Linked DNA regions of Coturnix japonica. The protein of the gene in region 1 interacts with the protein of each later gene in a biochemical or structural test. Links are inferred from orthologs where the notes say so. Each region holds a gene or a part of one and is shown in the gene's direction. Other genes may lie near its edges.

Evidence for each region. The genes of interacting proteins can lie anywhere in the genome.
Region 2: of the proteins of MTOR (region 1) and EIF4EBP1, one has a biochemical effect on the other in vitro, tested with the Homo sapiens proteins (29 studies listed by BioGRID and IntAct, with this or other methods). The link is inferred for Coturnix japonica from reciprocal best matches to the Homo sapiens genes MTOR and EIF4EBP1.
Region 3: the proteins of MTOR (region 1) and STAT3 form a complex in vitro, tested with the Homo sapiens proteins (2 studies listed by BioGRID, with this or other methods). The link is inferred for Coturnix japonica from reciprocal best matches to the Homo sapiens genes MTOR and STAT3.

The regions. Positions count from the first base shown.
Region 1 is NC_029536.1:3,567,314-3,570,873, reverse strand, and holds part of MTOR (serine/threonine-protein kinase mTOR), read left to right. Parts: intron 1-19; coding exon 20-154; intron 155-459; coding exon 460-634; intron 635-804; coding exon 805-940; intron 941-1,527; coding exon 1,528-1,675; intron 1,676-2,359; coding exon 2,360-2,482; intron 2,483-2,752; coding exon 2,753-2,835; intron 2,836-3,560. UniProt on the Homo sapiens protein: Serine/threonine protein kinase which is a central regulator of cellular metabolism, growth and survival in response to hormones, growth factors, nutrients, energy and stress signals.
Region 2 is NC_029537.1:3,620,591-3,624,901, forward strand, and holds the start of EIF4EBP1 (eukaryotic translation initiation factor 4E-binding protein 1), read left to right. Parts: upstream 1-1,462; 5' UTR 1,463-1,537; coding exon 1,538-1,685; intron 1,686-4,311. UniProt on the Homo sapiens protein: Repressor of translation initiation that regulates EIF4E activity by preventing its assembly into the eIF4F complex: hypophosphorylated form competes with EIF4G1/EIF4G3 and strongly binds to EIF4E, leading to repress translation.
Region 3 is NC_029542.1:4,519,713-4,523,766, reverse strand, and holds the start of STAT3 (signal transducer and activator of transcription 3), read left to right. Parts: upstream 1-1,205; 5' UTR 1,206-1,333; intron 1,334-4,054. UniProt on the Homo sapiens protein: Signal transducer and transcription activator that mediates cellular responses to interleukins, KITLG/SCF, LEP and other growth factors. Once activated, recruits coactivators, such as NCOA1 or MED1, to the promoter region of the target gene.

The DNA.
Region 1 (3,560 bases):
TTTTTCACTTCCTCCGTAGGCCTATGGCAGAGATCTAATGGAAGCTCAAGAGTGGTGCAGGAAGTATATGAAATCAGGAAATGTCAAGGACCTAACCCAGGCTTGGGATCTCTATTACCACGTTTTCAGGCGTATCTCAAAGCAGCTGCCTCAGGTAGGAGGAGAGGTGCAGTTCTGTTGTGGGGCTTACAGTGCGTGTTGTCAGTACTAATCTCTGTTTAATGTTTTTTGGTTATTCAAAACGTTCAAATTCAGTATTCTAGAATTAACTGCTTTTAATTTGCTCACAAGCTTCCTAGGCTTCAAGTTTTCTACTTATGCAGCCCTTTTGGCAAGTACTGAAGTATTGACAGCTGACTGTGAACTGTTCTAGGCTCCTTGCCAGCATGAACTCTTCAGATGTTTAAGTGAGATTTAACTGAAATGCTTGAAGAGTTGTGTTTCCTCTGTCTTCTGTAGCTCACTTCTTTGGAACTACAGTACGTGTCACCAAAACTCTTAATGTGCCGGGACCTGGAATTGGCAGTGCCAGGAACGTATGATCCCAACCAGCCCATCATCCGCATTCAGTCCATTGCACCCTCACTTCAGGTCATCACCTCCAAGCAGCGGCCCAGGAAACTAACATTAATGGGTAATAGGAAGCAGTTTGTACTTTGCTATTCTAGCATTTAAACAGTTGGTTTTAGTATGTCACGTAAAACTTCTACATCTGCCAAACTTCTCAGTTCTTCTGTGTCCTTGTGTTTACTCTTTAGTGTTTTCTCAGCTAGAGTAAACTTTTCCCTATTGATCCTTTTCCAGGAAGCAACGGACATGAGTTTGTGTTCCTTCTGAAAGGTCACGAAGACCTTCGTCAAGATGAAAGAGTGATGCAGCTTTTTGGGTTGGTCAACACTCTGCTAGCAAACGACCCAACTTCTCTTCGTAAAAACCTCAGGTATGTGTTGGGGATGGTTACTGAGTGTGCTTATGCATGAGTGACATCCAACAAATGTACAGGAAACCCTGGCATATCCAGTTGGTTTGTAAGGAAGTGATGAGTATTGGAACTAAGCTGATTTGAGTATGTGAGAGAACATCCATTCATAGACTGAAACTTGGAGGAAATGTTTTACATAAAACAAAAACTTCCTCAGTGTACAAGTTCTTTCTTGTGAATTGTTAATAGTATTTGAGATAAACACTATTTCAACATGGACTCCTAAGGCAGCACTCAAGCTGAGAGCAGGCTTTTTATCAAGGATTTTTTTAAATTATAGTCAATAAACAGCTTGATCAATGGTCACTGACTGCAGTTCTGTACATTATTGTTCAAACATCAACATACCAAATGTTGTGTGTGAATTATAGACATTCATGGGTCACATAATCTGAGCCTTCTAGAAGCCGTATTCCTGCTTAAACCACATCAGCCATCCAAATGGATGTTCCGGGTCTGTCTGGGTTGGGGGGGAAGGTTAAAGTGTACTGAGTTATAACATAAAATGATTTGAGCTCTGAATTTCCATTTTTTTTTTCCTGTAGCATCCAGAGATATGCTGTTATTCCACTGTCCACAAATTCAGGCTTGATAGGTTGGGTCCCCCACTGTGACACACTGCACGCCCTCATCCGAGACTACAGAGAGAAGAAAAAGATCCTGCTTAACATTGAACATCGCATCATGCTGAGGGTAATGGGCAAAAGTAGCAAATTTTTTGGTACATTCTTTTAGGACTCCAGTGTCGTAGTGAAGAACAATGGTGCACACACTCTTCCTACTTTACCTGTTTTCTGATTGCTGTTATCAACAGTAAGTGCAAGAATATCAGTTAAGTGTTCTAAAATGCTACTAAAAGGCAAAATTGGCCATAAATTTATTTGTTTCTCCTTTCCTGTTTTAGCAGTGACCATAAGTTGTCACCATCTGGAGACTAAAATGTGTTTTGCATGAATATGATGTGTCTTACAGAAGGTGTCATGCTGCTGGCATTTACAAACATTGTGACTAGGGAACGTGGCCAAAGTTAGACAGAATGGAGAAACAGAATGTTACTAGAGAAGGTGGAATTATCTGCCAGAAAGGAACTTGTGTGCCAGCCCAGGAAGCGCTTTTCAGAACCTATTTACCTCAGCAGTATTTTAATTAAATATGGCTATGGGCTATTTTTTGGATGTGAAGTCGTTTCCTATCCTATTTCACCCAAGTTCTTCACTGTAGTTCTCATACTATGTTTGGGAACATACTGGTCAGTCTGCAAATAATACTATATCACGTTTATCTTGCAATTATTTGTGATTACTGTGTTTCTCATAGTACAGGGAGGGGCTACTGAATGTCTGTTCTTAATTGCTTAATGTTGCTTCTCAATTATAGATGGCTCCAGATTATGACCACCTGACTTTAATGCAGAAGGTAGAAGTGTTTGAACACGCTGTCAATAACACAGCTGGCGATGACCTTGCCAAACTGCTGTGGTTGAAAAGTCCGAGCTCAGAGGTTAGTTCAGCACATGTACTGTTTTCTCTGCAGAATGTGGGAGAAATGGGTGTACCTGCACATCACAAACTTCAAATGAATTCCTACAGAAGGTGTTTTTAACACAAACTAATAAAATTTGCTGCTTTGTGAGACCTTTCCCTGCTTGGAAATTAATGATTTTGAGTGTTTTTCACATTCCAAAATACAGCAGTTATTGTATAAATTAAAACGTAAGCTGAAACATGCAATATGTCTGTCTGACTTCTTCTATTCTGCCTCTGCTTGTAGGTGTGGTTTGACAGAAGAACAAACTATACTCGTTCACTAGCTGTGATGTCAATGGTTGGGTACATTTTGGGTCTTGGGGACAGGTAAGTAATATTGCAAAGGTTTTCGTTTGTTTTTTTAGATGAAAGCAGACTGCAGAGACCTCTTAGTCTGTCCATTGAATCTGTTGTTACAATAACATCTTTCGGTATGGATATGGCTGAGCTATGATGATACCATCTTTATGGATTTCATTGCGCTGCTGTTATTTTCAACACTGCAACATATGACAAGAGTTTGTGCATCTTGAGTACAAATAAGAGTTTCTTCTGTTCTATTCTTGAGCTTAAAGGCTTTTATAATGAAATTTAAAACCTTTGAAAATTGGATTAAAGCAAAATTGGAACAAGTCAGCACGAATAACAGCATCTTGGTTTCTGTTAGTCAGCTCTGATTCTCTTCTCTTCTGGTAGTAATCCAATTTGCGTTACTTCACTTGCATAATTCATTGTATTTATATGCTGAAAAAAAAATAATGAAAAAAGATTATACAAACCTAAGAACTTATCCTAACTGGAAAATAGATGTTCATATCCAAGAACTGTACTGATGGCAGTGATCCAATAGGTTGTTTGTCTTCCATGATGAGATAACATCTAATTCCTGAGAAGTAATTACAAAAGTAATGTGATAGATGCACTGTCAAGGAAGCTGTTCTGTTCTTCCCGAGATTGAAGACCGCAGACAAGCAAGCTGTCACTGGCTGTTCTCATTCATGAAGATAAATATCATTTCAGACTAGAGCTGTGATTTACTTTATTTTTTCTTA
Region 2 (4,311 bases), on another chromosome or scaffold:
TGCACAAACAGCCCTTGGGCGGGCAAAGTGGATGTGGGTTTGGCGTTATCTGCACTGGTGATCAGAAAGGAATGTAAACACGGATGGGGTGGAAATGTCAGCAGCACAGAACACCCCCCCCCAGCTGCCTTCCCCTTGGTGATGGGTGGGTGTCATGGGGCACCCGTGAAGAAATACCCAAGATTTCATGACCCACGGGGGTGTGTTTTCCACACACCATAGCAGGGAGCTGCCTCAAATGGGAGAGTGCCAGAGGAGAAAGATTTTCACAACACCCCATTCCTGTTCCAAAGGCAACGATTCCCACCAGTGGCCAAAACAGCAGTTGCTGGGGAGCGTGCAGAAGGGACCTACAAATGCAGTTCTGTTCCCAGTTAGGAAGGCAATAAGGTGACAACCTTCTATCATATGAGGATGATAAAGGCTTTCCAGCTCTTTTGAAGAGATAAAATGCCCCCAGAGATGAGCACATTGTCACCAATGGATACTGCCAACACGAGCCGATGCTCCTAAAGTACATACCATGTTTCCAGTGGAACTACTGCTGATGTATTGCTGTACTGTATTAATGTATTGATGTATTGATGTATTGATGTATTGATGTATTGCTCCCTGCCCTGGTCCAGGTACCTTTTCCCCCTTCTCTCTCTGCCTTTTTATCTTGAGTCCAAGTGGGAAATGAATGGCAGGGAGGGATGAGGAAGGACCATTGTTAGGACTGTGCATTCCTGAGGCTGCTCAGTGCCAGCTCCAACCCTGCAGAGATATTATCAGCACACACAGGACGGACATTGCTGCCAGCCCAGAGCTGTGCCCTGTCCCTCTGCTGGGGCTGGGGGCTCCCTATGACTTGATACCCCATAGGATACAAGGCACCAGGGGATGATAGCCAGACAACACAAGGACTGTGGCCCCAATCAGGATGTGCCCCAACAGCTGACCTTCCCCCACAGCTCCTTGACCCCATAATTATCTATGAACAGAAGGAAATGGCCTCAAGGCTTCATTAAACCTCATTGAGTCGGGGGTCAAGGCTGATGTCAGCCAGCAAGGATGGACATGGTGTTTTCCTATCCAGAACACAGTAATTGATGCAGCAGACAGCAGGGAGAGCAACTGGGCACCAGCACATGCAGGGACAATGGGAGAACTGGGAGGACTGGGGGGTTCTTGAGCACATTGGGGGGTTACTGGAAGAACTGGGGGGGTCACTGGAAGCACTGGGGGGGTCACTGGAAGCACTGGCAGCACAGTACCCTTATAACACCCCATTACTTTCTCATCCTGCAGCACCATACGGTACCGATAAGGGGCACCGCAATCACGGCACCTCTCTATAAGCCCCGCCCCCAATGGCCTAAGCCCCGCCCACCATCTAAGCCCCGCCCCCATTAGGCCACGCCCGTATTCACATAAGCCCCGCCCACTAACTAAGCCCCGCCCCTTCGTTTTCCGGAAGGGGGCGTGGTTTACACCGGAAGCGACGGGCTGGCGGCGGGTAGGCCGCAGTAGCAGCAGCAGCCCGTGACCGGGCGCCATGTCGGGCCGCTGCTGCCAGGGACAGACGCCGAGCCGCGATATCCCGGGTCCCGGCAAGCGCCTGGCCCTGCCCGACGGAGCACCGCTACCACCCGGGGACTACAGCACCACGCCGGGGGGAACCGTGTTCGGGACCACGCCGGGCGGTGAGAGACTGGGGCCTGTGGGGCTGGGGTCCAGCTGAGGGGGCCGGTGTGGGTTGGGGTCTTTGGGGGGGGGGTTCTACATTTATGGGGTCTTTGAGGGGGTGGTTCCACCTTTGGGGGGGGTACCTCCTTTATGGGGGTCTTTGGGGGGGGTTTCCACCCTTATGGGGGTTTTTGAGGTGGGTTCCATCTTTATGGGGGTTTTTGAGGTGGGGTTCCACCTTTGAGGGGGGGTTTCCACCTTTATGGGGGTCTTTTGTAGGGGGGGGTCCACCTTTATGGGGGTCATTGAGGGGGAGTTCCACCTTTATGGGGTCTTTGGGGGGGGATACCTCCTTTATGGGGGTCTTTGAGGGGGGGGCTCCACCTTTGTGGGTGTCTTTGAGGGGGGGGATTCCACCCTTATGGGGGTCTTTGAGGGGGGGGGTTCACCTTTATGGGGTCTTTGAGGGGGGGTTCCACCTTTATGGGGTCTTTGAGGGGGGGGTTCCACCTTTATGGGGGTCTTTGAGGGGGGGGTCCACCTTTATGGGGGTCTTTGAGGGGTGGTTCCACCTTTATGGGGGTCTTTGAGGGGGTGGTTCACCTTTATGGGGGGGTTCCACCTTTGTGGGGGTCTTTGGGGGGGGTTCCACCTTTATGGGTTCAAGCTGAGGGGGCTGACGTGGGTTGGGGTCTTTGGGGGGCGGTTCCTCCTTTATGAGGGTCTTTGAGGAGGGGTTCCACCTTTATGGTGGTCTTCGTGGCCTAAATAGGGCCGTGTTGGGTTGTTGGGGCGACCCTCCCGTTCTCAGGTCACAGGGTGGTGTTCATCTCGATTGGGACCGTTCTTGAAGCTGTTCTAAGAGTGCAAACCTAACGAAGGCAGCATTGTGTTCTATGAGCCCTCCAGGCATCGGTTCTCTTTACAGCATTGAGATGTTGCTTGGGTTAAAATACAGAGAGAAAAGGGGAAGTCGGCGCTGCTGATGCAGGCAGTGTGTTTTGGGTTGGTATTATTTCTGCCACGTCTTCCTTGCCATGCAGGCAGCAAATAGCTGAAAGCACTTATATAGCGCTCACAGTCATTATGTCATGGAAGAGAGGAGATACAGAATGCTTCTCAGCCTGTAGCTGAATGGAGATGGATAATAAGGCTGCAGTGCAGCACGACGAGCCCTCAAGGGTTATTGCTTGTTTGTGCTGCGGAGTTAATGAATGTCCAGAGTGTGGAAGGAAAGCACGGAGCTGTTTGCTGTGAGGGTGTGCAAGGTTGGCAAAGCCCTGGGTTCTCCTGTGACAGCACAGTGCTTCCTTGCCTGGATCCCAAAGGAGAGAATGGTTTTCAGCCCCTTTCACAGCAAACTGCCTGTGTTGAAGCACTGAAGGTGCTGGATGTGAGCCAGCTCAAGCCTGGAGAGTACCAGCAAATGTCTGCTGAGGGAAGCATGAGACTTCCTGCAAAGCTGTTGCTGAAGTCAGGAGGAAGGAGCAGATCGTTTGCTGTAGCAAATAAGAGAATAACTGAGCACTGGCATCTCTGTAACCCCCTTTGCCTGCAGGCAGGGCTTGGCTGAGGGGTGGAAGCAGAGCTCAGTGCCTGCACTCTGGTGATCTGCAGGCTCAGCAAAGGGATGGTTGGGTGAGGAGAGTCCCTGAGAGCACAGGAAAAAGCTGATTTTCCTGTCTGTGGGCAGCAGGGGTTTAAAAAAACACAGTGTAAGGGAACGAGGAGCGTGTAAGAGGTAACGTGACCTTTCAGCATAGCCTGTTCTTTGGTATTCCCTTCATGCTTGCCTTGGCACCACGCCCTTTGCTGAGGGCACACATTGTCTTTCCCCAAGCCCACGTGTGCCTGAACAACATGCAAGCTGCAGCAGAACTGCTCTGTTTGCTCCAAGCCTCATTTGGAAACCTGCACCCCTCTGACACCCGCTGCTGCCCGTCTGCTTGTGCTGCTGTGGGTGTCAGCTTTCGCTTGCACTGGGCACGTGAAACAGCAGATGAATGCATGGGAGGCAGAGCTGTGCCTGCCCGTTATGGACTGTGCTCCTGATACTTGGTACACGAGCTGCAGTTCTAGGAACTGCTGTCCTTGCTCTCGCAACCTCCCTGTAATTTAACACTTAGTGCTCAGGCTAACAGTTGTCCTTATCGAATCCAGGCCAGCTGCCGTGCTATAGTACTGAATTGGATTAGTTCCCCTCCTTGATCAAGCAGAACAACTCAAAGTATCTTATTGGAAAGTGCTTTCCATTGTTTTGGGAACTCATTAGCAGGATGTCCTTGAAAATGTAAAATACTGTTGTTTGGGGTTTATTTAACAGTGCTTCAAAACAGAGTGAGTTTGATGTTGCTGGGCAGATGTTATTGGAGTTTGTTTTGCTATATTTGAGCACTGCCTGAAAAGCTTTAGCTCCAACCAGTTGCTTTTCCCTTGTGCTGGGAGGGAAGCAGAGCAGCAATCCAACAAGGCGGTTTGCAGCATTCCTTCTAGGGGAATAAAAAGGATGTTTGTCAGGAATTCTTGGATGAGGGCTGTGGTCTGTTTGGAGGAATCCATTTTCTATGTGTGTGCTTTTGAGTCTTTTCCAGCACCAGTTCCTTTTCTAGGAATGTGCTGTTCATCCTGGTGGTGTTCCTAGAA
Region 3 (4,054 bases), on another chromosome or scaffold:
CCACGCCAGCCGAGCTGCCTTACAGAGGAGCCTGGGATGTGCTGGTGCTGTGGGAGCGCCCGGCTGGCAGCGAGCAGCCCCGACATCCAGCACATCCGGAGCGTTTCGGAGCGTCTCCTTCCTCCAGGGGTCCTGGCGCGGCTCCGGCTCGTGCCCACGTCCTGCACTTCCCCCCCCCCATTCTCCCCATTTCCCCTCTCGGTGCCTTCGCTCTGTTGCTGTAGTTTCACACGCGGCACCGCCCGGCTCAGCCCGCACCGCTCTCACACGCAGCCGCCGCCGGCAGCGGGGCAGGAGCGGGCAGGAGGCTGCGGCCCCACGGCTGCACGTGCGGGATGTGGGTGCGCGGGGCCGGTGGGATGTTCCCGTCCCGTCCGCCCGGCGCTGCCCCACGTGCCGTTTCCTTCTGGCCCCGCTCCGCCCCGCGCAGCCGTGTCCGCTGCCGCCGTACCCACGTATATAAACTCGCTTTTCCTCTCTGACCGTTCTCCCTCTCGTTGTCTGACGCCCCGCGGCGCTGCCCTGTGCCCGTGGCTGCGTGTCCCCGTTGGCGGCGCCGTGTCCCGCTCGGTGCGGCGGAGCTGCCGCCCGTCGGTCGCAGCGCGTTGGACAAAGCTCAGATTGTTTTGTATGACTGCATCCTGGTGAGCAGCACAACTAATAAAGGCTGTTTTGTAACGGAGCAGCATGGCGCCTGCTGAGCAACGGGACGGGGAAACGGCCTGAATCCAGCACGGGGTGGGCTGGGGTCGGACAGTCCGTACCGGGGGGTGGCCGTGCCCGGCCCGGAGCTGCGGGATCCCATTGCTGGGAGGGGGGGGGGTGTCCCCGCAGCGCGGACCGGGCGGTGCCGGGCGCTGACCCGCATCGCTCCGCGCGGGGCCGCTGCTGCGCTCCGGGAACATCGGGGGGTGCGGCCCCTTTAAGAGGCGGCGGCGGTGGCGGGTCGCGCGGTGACGTCACGGCGCTGCCCGGAACTCAGCGGGTTTCCCGCACGGCTGTTCCCGGCAGTTGCCACCTCCCCCCGCGCCGCCCCCTGCCCAGCACCGCCCCGCGGCGGGAGGCGGCGCCATCCGGGAACAGCCGGCGCGGGGCAGCGCCCCCAAGCGGCGCCGTCGCGATCCGTGACGTCACCTCGGGACGGCCGCGCTGATTGGCTGTCGCGGCCCGTCCCTCCCGAGGCGGACGGAACGCCGCGCCGCCATTGGCTGCGCCCCGCGTGACGTGAAGGGGGGCGGGGCCGGGGCTGCGGGAGCCGCAGTCGGGAACCGGGAACCGACCGGAGCGCGACCGTCAGCGGCACCGGGAACCGCCGGCACGGCCGGAACCGACGGTGAGAGTGAGATGAGTTATGGGAAACCGGGGAACGGAGCGAGAGGGAACGGGACGGGACTGGGAGGGAGCGGGGGGAGCGGGGCCGGGCCTCGGGTGCGACGGGCCTCAGCACGGGACGATCGTGGAGGCCCCGAAGCTGCTGCACCGACAGAGCCCGGCACTGAGCCCCGAGCGCGGGGAGCTGAGAGCGGCGGGACCGACATGGCGGACACTGCGCCGGGTGCACGGTACAACGCCTGGGCTGGGAACATGGAGCTGAGCCCTGCGGTCCGGTGTGTGGCAGCGCCGCGCTGTGCCGGGCCGTGCTGTGCCGTGCTGTGCCGTGCTGTGCTGTGCCGTGCTGTGCCGTGCCGTGCTGTGCCGTGCTGTGCCGTGCTGTGCCGTGCTGTGCCGGGCTGTGCTGTGCCGTGCTGTGCACTTTGAGAGCCAGAGCACAGCGGGGCAGGTCGCTGCCGGGGCTGGGCTGTGCTGTGGGGGTGGCTGTTATCGCAGCGGAGCTGCACCGTGGGCACTGAGCCCCGTCCAGGTGGCTGCAGCGCTCTCAGGGTGTCTCAATGTTCTCCCTCTGCTCCCTCTTCCTGTTGGTGAAGCCCCTGTAAGTTGTGTCACAGGGGGATGCTCTCAGGTACATCCAGGCACACAGAGCCCATCGTGGGGCTGTTTCCCTCAATGGCAGCACTGCTCGATTGTGGCTGTTGGGGTACGTGGAGCTGTGGTGCCACTGCTGAGCTCAGGCTGTCGTGCTCTGCCCTTGCAGGGAAGCTAAAGAAAGATGAACTTTAACTCTGGGGCTACTTTTAGCCGCTCTGCTCTGAGCTCTGCACAGCTTGTTTACCTCAGCGCTTGCGTCATGCTGTGCTCAGCCCCGCTCACATCAGTTGCTCTTTGGCTCTTCTCCAGCAGTGAGAGATGAACCACGGAGGCAGCAAACCCATCAGCATTGTTAGGGCTCAGCCCTCAGGCTTTTAAACCTGCCCCGGGAGCTTCCCCACAGCAGGATGGGCTGCAGAGGGATCTGTGTTGGGTTTTGGGCTGGCGCTGTGGAAGGTTTCATAGAGCAGGTGGTCAGGGGGTCACAGAGCATTGGGCACCACTGGGAGGGGTGAGCTGCAGTGAAGGAGGAGAATCCTCTTCCTGTCTCCTTGCTGCTCCCAGACGTTCCCTCCCTTTCCTCATCCTCCTGTGACTGATGGGTTGGCAGCCGCCATCAGCCGCTGCAGCAGAGCTGTCCCACTTGGCGAGAGCCCATAGCGCAGCACATTGTGTGGATGCTGTTCACAGCCCTTTTCCTGTGGTGGCGTGGGGGGAGTTTGTAGGTCAGGAGCCCATTAAGCTGAGGGGCGTAAAAACTCAATGTGGTGTTTGTGTCTGTGCTGATATCCCTGGAGAAAAGGGCTGAAAGGACCCATGGACCAGCAAGCAGTGAGCGCAGCTCAAGGCAGCAACCATCCCCACGGGCTGCTTCGCTCCCACAGCACTGAGTCCTTTGTGGTGCCTCTTATTGTACTGTGCGTATGTTCTGCAGCCACTTCCTTCATCACTTTGTGTGCCTGCGCTGGGAGGAGATGCCTGCAGTGGGATGAGGCTGAGCAGGTTGTTTTGCTTTGTGCAAGTTCTGTTTTTCAGGGATGAACGTGGCTGAGCACTTTGCAGGGCAGCTGCTGCTCCCTGGGCTGCACACAGGGTGGTGTGCAGGGACTTCTCCTTCAGTGCTGTACGGGTTTGGGTTCAAACACGGCCCAGTGAGACCCAGAGCAGAGCTTTGCTTATGGGAGACCTGCTTGGATCAGGGCAGTGCAGGGCGGGAGCTGCGGATGTCGGTGGTTTGTGGATTCTCAGCTCTTGGCTGTGTGTTTCTTGCTTCATTTCCCCCCCATCATGTTTCACACTGTGCTGGCAGCCTCTATAGCACTCAGCTAAAAGCAGTGTGAGCACCTGGGAGCGCTCCCTGTGCTGTGCCTGGTGAGCAGCCATGGGGTACAGCAAAGGGCCCGGCCTGTCGTGGTGTGAAAAGAGAAGTCCTGGGGTCACACACGTGTCAAACAGAGCCGAGTCTTCCCTCCAGTCTGACAGAATGTCTGTCTCCTTACAGGCTCCTGTTTCTCCTCCTCCCTTTCACCTATTGCTCTGTTAAATCCAGGCTTTGCTCACATGATCTTCTCTAGAGATTGCACCAGGCTGTGGTTCAAGGTTAATGTCCTCTGGATGCTGCTGTCAGCTGGGCTGCGCAATGCCACAAAGCTCTAAAAAGCAGCTTAACTCCTTGTCGGGTGCCAATCAATGTGTGTCATCTCCCCACGTCTCATGGTGGGGCTGATTCCCCTTTTTCTCCTCTAAGAACTATCCACAGAAATAGAGGAGGGGTCGCATACAACAAACACCAGCTGCTCTGGGGGGGACCCGGGGCACAGAGCTGTGGCCCCCACATCTCCCCCCCAGTCAGTGCCCATCTCCAGTGCCTCTGGGACAGCTCTGGTGTCAGCCATGTGCCAGCCCTGTGCCTCCTGCTGACGTGTCACTTGCTGGGGTTGCCTGCAAAAATCAAACCACTTTCTGGGGGAAGTGAGCCCGTGGTGAGGCTCAGTGGTGCTGCTGTGTCTGTGCTTCCTGCACAGCTTGCTGTCGCTCCTTCGGCTGACTCTGACTCCTATTGATGTGCGAGCCGCTCACTTGAAAATTGCTCCTTCCTCGTTTCTGTTGCTTCCTGGCAGTCTCCGCC